2 linked regions of the Nothobranchius furzeri genome follow. The protein of the gene in region 2 interacts with the protein of the main gene of each other region in a pairwise test. Links are inferred from orthologs where the notes say so. Each region holds a gene or a part of one and is shown on either strand. Other genes may lie near its edges.

Evidence for each region.
Region 1: the proteins of paraneoplastic antigen Ma1-like (region 2) and fbxl18 interact in a two-hybrid assay, tested with the Homo sapiens proteins (2 studies listed by BioGRID). The two-hybrid records come from large-scale screens. The link is inferred for Nothobranchius furzeri from reciprocal best matches to the Homo sapiens genes PNMA1 and FBXL18.

Annotation. Positions count from the first base shown.
Region 1 is NC_091744.1:14,834,208-14,838,409, forward strand, and holds the start of fbxl18 (F-box/LRR-repeat protein 18), read left to right. Parts: upstream 1-1,402; 5' UTR 1,403-1,546; coding exon 1,547-1,567; intron 1,568-2,013; coding exon 2,014-2,208; intron 2,209-2,289; coding exon 2,290-2,639; intron 2,640-2,839; coding exon 2,840-2,975; intron 2,976-3,059; coding exon 3,060-4,138; intron 4,139-4,202. UniProt on the Homo sapiens protein: Substrate-recognition component of the SCF (SKP1-CUL1-F-box protein)-type E3 ubiquitin ligase complex.
Region 2 is NC_091745.1:26,674,385-26,676,977, reverse strand, and holds paraneoplastic antigen Ma1-like, read left to right. Parts: upstream 1-1,175; coding exon 1,176-2,093; downstream 2,094-2,593.

The DNA.
Region 1 (4,202 bases), on a different chromosome or scaffold from region 2:
TCCATTATTGGGATTCTGAGAGGTTGAGGACCAACAAACTGTAAGATAGAGAAGAAGTTATCTCTGTCTGGCCCCAAAACAATTTCTAATTGGAATCTGGCGTCCTTGAGCCTGTGAGGCTCCAACAAACCCCCCCCCCCCCCCCCCCCTCAGAAGATACGTGGAATGTATCGTCGCTATGGCAACTCAACTCTACCTCCTTTCCCAGCCTGGGCGGGACAGCAGGAAGGCCGCTGAAGCATCCAGGGTCACTGCAACCCTCCAACCCTTAATGCCCCCCCACCCACCCCCCCACCCCCATGCGCTGCTTCATCGTGGCTGCAGGAACTGAAGTTGGGATAGTCCATACCCACCACCCCACCTAGTGAACACTTATGTTGTGTTGTCTGAAGTCTGTTGCATATCTCTGTCTGAGGTGTTTTTTTTTTTGCAGCGCAATGCTGCCTTCCCGGTAGAGGGTAAAGCTTGGTCCGCGAGGTCCGTGCGGCGAAATTGCGTCATTTTAACAACCACGCCCCTCCACCGCGCCTCCGCACGGCCCAAAATTCCGCACTGCACACCTAGGAAAATTTCTAACCACCCGGACGGTCGGATGTGGAAAAACATGGCGGACCGGCAAGATCTAGTAAGGCAGAGGTTCGTAACTACAGACATTTGTATGATTCAGCTCTCAGAGATCACCGTGATCAACATGTTGTTAATATTTCTTGGAGAGAAGCTCGCACTGTTGGAAAAGACGAGAACGCTGTTTAAAACTGCTGGAATGCCATGTTGTAAACAACAGTAATTTTTACTTCTACTATGGTGTAGTGTTGGATGCATGCTGTAGAGCTCCATGCAGCCCCGTTCAGTTTGAGAGAATATTGGCTCACCGCAGAGACGAGCCGCACGAACCATAAACGCTGCGAGTTGTGAAGCGCGTTCCATCCGCGAGCCGCATCACCAAGTGGAAAGTGAATGCGTCAAGCATAAACCAACCTTAACTTTGAAGTGCCTTTTTTTCCCTCCACCTGAACCAGTACTCATGTAACCCTCTTATCTCTATTAAGGTAGTGTGACTCAGGGTTGCGAATGACCACAATCACCAATTCTTGTCATGTGTCTTGCCCATGTATGTCTGATCTCAGAATTGTGTGTACTGAAACTCTAATTTCCCTCTGGGATTAATAAAGTATCTTTGATTTGATTTGAGATGACTTAAAACGCAAAGGTTAATAAAAATATACGGATTCGTGACCAGGTAAAACAAATCTTTGTTTCACTGTTTGTGCGTTCATTTGTGAAAACCTGCTGTGTCTACAACACAGATGTTTTTTTATTTTTATTTTTTTTCCTGGATTAACAGGAAGTAAGTCCGTAGGGGTAATCGTTCCGTGACTTCCGTCATGTGCAGTGCAGCGGTAAAATCCTTCCGTCTAGGTGTTTCGTGGTCAGCAACCTGTGGTTCAGACGTAAAAGCGAAATTTTTATTTATCGAAACACCTGTTAGGTGAAGGTCTCCTGTTTAGAAATCTTAGATAAGGCTTTGGAGAGAGCGACAAAGGAAATGGATGGACAGATTTTGCAAGTAGGTGTTGCGCCAAACCTCTACGCGACGGATTTTACTTGGTTACCGCGGAACATAAAAAAAATGATGTAAATTTTATCGCTAAAGCGAACATTGTTGCTAACTTTTTTACTCTAACATCTTCCGTCTGTCATCTAATTGCCCTGCGTATGGTCTCAGAAAGATAGTCCCAGTCCTTAGCACTATGAAACAATCAGATATGATTGTAAGCATTTTATTTTATGTTCGTGTCAGAGCTGCCACATTCAATGAAATGAATAAAACATGTTTGTAAATGAACAGGCTACTTGTATCAGCATTTTGTTGCCATTTAGATTGTAATGCTTTTTTGTTTTCTAATTAAAATCATGTACTAAAATGTTACAGAAGTTAAGAAGAATGGCAACGTCTTAAAAAGCTCGAAGATCACCCAAATCACATGCCTGACATCTTTCTGTCGTTCTCAGGCTGTTTTGGACTCAGAGACAGCGTCTCTGTCTGTTGGGATGTCCAACTTGTCTGATGAGATCCTACTGTGTATCCTTCATCACGTTCCAGTGTGTGACCGCCTGACGAATGTTGCAATTGTCTGCCGGAAGTTTTACACACTCTGCCACGACAAAACCCTGCTCTCAAACGTCACGTTGTCTGAAGAATATCTGGTAAAGCTGTTTGATTTCTTTTGATTGGTGCTGATGAGGAATTTTTCATGATTGTCTCATTAACTTTTCATTTTCTTTAAGGCTGATGATCGGTTAGTTCGACACATCCTGAAGAAGCTTGGCAACAGCGTGCTGTCTCTCAGCCTGAACGGTTGCTACTGGCTGTCTGGTTCCACACTGGAGCATTTGGCACGCTGCAGAGCAGTAACACACCTCGATGTGACGGGCTGTCGCATCAGTTATCTCTGTCTGTCGCACCTCCTCTCCTCTCTGTCCTCTCTCAGATCCCTGGCGTTTGATGTGAGACCGTGCTTTAACTCTGCTTTGCTCAGTTCAAAAGCGGTGGACTCGCTGAGCCGCTTGACGGAGCTCAAACAGACGCTCTTAACACCAAGCTATGGTGTTGTGCCATGCTGTGCAAAACTTCGCAAGTAAGGACTTGCAAGACAGATGCTTATATTTAGCTGTTTTTAAGCCATCATCCTTAAATATCTCTTCACCCTAGCTACCATGACTGTCAAGCAACTGGAATGGGATTTACTTATTTGTGAGTTTCTGTTTTAAGCTTCCGGGTTACAGATATAAAGATTTGGTTCTCTGGTGTGTGTGTGTGTGTATGTGTGTGTGATAGGCTAATGCTGCAGTTTGACATCCCAGATGTGACCAGAGAGGGTGTGGGTGTTAGCTGTCAGTTAATGGTTGGTCAGAGCAGTGTACCGCATTACGAACAGCTGGAGGAGTTCACAGCCAGACTGGCTCCAGGAGAGGTGAGTGTGTTAGTAATCATTTAAACAAGACCCAGTCCTGTCTGTAACACTGTACGGGATGTTTCCGTGTCTCGTTGGCTGCAGGTGAACCAGACGCTGCTCCTTCTTTACCTGGCGGTGTTCAGTGTTCACATTCCAAAGAATCTCAGAGTTTTCCTCGTGTCGATTCCCGGTCCAAACCCGGTTCACTGGCCGGCTGCTTCCTCGCTGGCTCAAAGTTTGGGTCAAAGAGGAGACCTGGTGGCTCTGCAGCTCCCTCGATCCTGGTTGGATTCTTTTTCTCTAAAGCGAGCCTTGGAGGGGAACAGCCCCAAGCACCTGAGCTTTAGCCGTTGCCCCGCTCTGTGGCCGCAGGTGTTCCAGTCGCTTCTGAACGGAGGAGTCCGAGATGCCACGGAGCTCATCAGCCTCAACCTCAGCGGCATCAACCACGTTCTTTACTCCGAGTGCAGGAGCGTAGAAGATCAGCTGGTTACTGTGACCCTGAGTCAGCTGGCTGAAGTCTGTTCCAACATTAAGCACCTGAATCTGATGCACACACACTACCATCATGAACACACACTTGCGCTGGATGGAGAAACACACCTGTGTACCAGTTTGGGTCGATTCAAACAGCTGCGCTCTCTCACCCTGCCTGCATGCGCTCTGTCTGACGGTGTGAACACAAATCACATCTCGTCTTGCAGCTCAGCTACCTCCGCGCTGTTTCAGGGACTGAAGAAAGCTCCTCGAGTGGGGCTCCAGAACTACAGACCTGACTCAGAATCCTCTCTCTCAGGAGACAGCACTTCAGGGCTGTCTTCGCTAGTAGCTGGCTGCCCTTTTTTAGAAACCTTAGAGGTTATTGGGCCAGGGTTTGTCTCAGCGCTGCCTCGACTCGAGCCCTGCACTCGTGCCAGCGTGGAGCCTCGTGGTATGTGCGCCTGGGCCAGGGAAGTTGGAGACGCACACTTGGCGGCACTTGAAGCTTTGCCTCAGTTGCGCCGTTTGTCTCTGGCTGGACTTCCTGGAGTTCTCAGAGGAACAGGACTGGTACAACTGGCCAGACGGTGCACAGACTTAAGAGTTTTGTCTTTAGCCAACCTGGGATCTTTGAAAACTATGAATTACTCCCCTGCTCTGCTGGAGACACTGAAACAGTGCACACAGCTGCAGGAACTCAGGTCAGAATATTCCTATAGTGTTCTTTTCCCTTTTAAAAAAAAGTGGTTTATTTTCTATTTTTAA
Region 2 (2,593 bases):
GGAGTTCAAATGGTTAAAAATGTGTTTAAAATCACAATAAATAGAAGTCAATCATAATTTGAGTGTTCATGGAGTTATAAGTAACAATGAAACTAAAGGTTTATCTAATGTGAAACAAGGAAAACTTTGTATTGTTTCAAGTTGTTTTACAAGTTCATTTTGGGTTGTCAATCTTGTATTTTCTTTTATCCCATTGGTTGATGTAAACCTACTGTCCAATCAGACGTAAGGGAGGCGGGAGCTAAGTGAGGCAAAAGAAAGAAAAAACAGCGAAGCTAGTGAGAGTCGGCAGCAGCACGTTGCGGGAGGAGGTTGTGTACCAGAGCTAATGGAAGAATAGTGAAATAATAGCCGTGGATGCAGAGTCTACGTTCCTGTTATGGACTGTTTTACCCTGTGATGAGTGAGTACTGAATGTGGAGTTAGCATTGAGCTTAAACGGAATGTATAAGTACTTAAAATGTATGGTGCTAATCGCGAGTTAGCATGTTAGCATTTTAGAGCCTGTAATAGCTATGTATGTCGAGTACGTAAGATACAGCTTATTCTGTGGAACTAAATAGTAATCTCTAATGCACAGTGGACCGAGAGGAATTCTCTGGACTCTTCTGCTGTGGATAGGAGTTCTGTGTGGTTGTTCCAGTGTACTCAGCAGCCCGGGTATGCCGCTAATTCCGACCACCTTGCCGAGTGGAGGCCGCATGGTCACCAACCAAGACTGCCCCTCCGTTTGCCTTGCACTTAGCCCAAAGGATTCATGAGTAGACCTGAGCACGTGTGTTTTGTTTTCTGCTGGTTATCAAGTGAAGCGGCCATTTGTTTGTTTTCTGGCCCAACGAGCCCAAGCAACGATCAGGCCTGCAACGGTTTCAGTGAATGAGCTCACAAAGGTTAAAACTGGTTAGTCATTGTTTCTCCTGTTTACCAATAAGATTAGTTAATGTACCCAGGGCCCCGCTCATAGTACTATCACCATCTTAACCGAGGGTTAATCCAGAGCTACTTGAGTTGGGTGCTACACATTTGGAGGCACCGCTGGGATTGTTGTTGTTTTATCTACATTTTAAGTTACCACTAAATCTGCTGTAACCTTAAAGTAACTAAGAGTAACACTGGTCCTAAAAAGCAACTTCAATTAATCTTTTTTTTCCCCCTACAAAGTAACTTGTTAAACTATGGCCACTAAAAGTGATGTCTCACAACCGAATCTTGCAAATTGGTGCAGAGGTGAAGGGCTCGATCAGGCACATGCCATTCTAGTTGTCGGAGTGCCTGAAGAGGAGGACCTATCCACAGTAGAAGAAACACTCGAACAAGTAAAAACCTTGGGCAAGGTAAGAGTAAGAGGAAAAATGTTTGATGCCAATAATCAAACCCTGACCATGTTATGTGAATGCTGTGAAGCAGTCGATCCTACCAAAGTTCCGCCAGAGTTGATTTCCTTTAAGGATGGAAGTAAATGGACAATAGTTGTTGCAGAGCAAGAAACGAACTCCGACCTATTCACAGAGAAGTTGGACAGATTTCTGCGTGATGAAGGGAAAACAATGGAGGATGTTCAAAGACTATGTGATCCTAGAACTCCATGGAACAGCAGCCCTGAGTCAATCATTCGGGTGGTAGGTGATGTGTTGCAGTCCAAGCCAAATGAAAGCAATTTATACCGTCGTTTTAGAATCTTCTCAGGAGTCTACCCTACTCCACCTGGTGAAGACAACTTGGATAGCTGGCTAGAACAAGTAAAGTTCATGACTGATGAGTATGAGTGCTCAGATAAGGAGAAACGCCGAAGAATTATTGAGAGTCTCAAAGGGCCAGCGCTGGAGATCATTCAAGCAGTGCGCATGTCTAATCCCCTGGCAAACCATGTGGACTGCATACAGGCATTGGAAAGTACCTTTGGTACCGCAGAATCCGGTGAGGAACTGTATCTCACATTCAGAGCTATGCATCAAAGACAAGGGGAGTGCTTGTCTAACTTCTTGCTGAGACTGGAAAGATTACTGAACAAAGTCGTGCAAAAAGGAGGCCTACAAGTAGATGAAGCCAACCGAGCAAGGCTTGAGCAACTCATTAAAGGTGCTACTGAATAAGACTTCATGCTGCTTCATCTAGGTCTTAGAGGTAAGCGAAGTGATCCCCCGACATTTTTAAGTCTACTGAAAGAAATTCGAGAAGAAGAGGAGCGTGAAGCTGCAAGACAAAAACTGAAAAAACCAGCACAGAGACAGCACGTGCATGCAGTGCAAGTAGCAAGTGAAACAGACTCCAGAGATTGTCAGCAACATGAGTTTCAGTCCGAAATTCAAGTGCTAAAAGAAAAGCTGAAAGAGCTCAGTAAGCAGTCTCATTCTACAGAGTCAAGCCACAAAAAGATGTCCAGAGAAAAGAAAAAAGAGAAATCAGACACAAGCAGCGAAGTGCAACAGTTAAGAAAAGAAGTCAAAGAGCTGAAAACACAGTTAAGTGTCATGTCGGTAACGCCACAACATTATGCAAAAGAGAGAGGGCACTATTCTAAGTTCAAAGCGGACTTCAGTCCAAAGTCATCTACCTTTAAGCCAAAGAGTAGTAAAGAGTCAGATAATTTCTG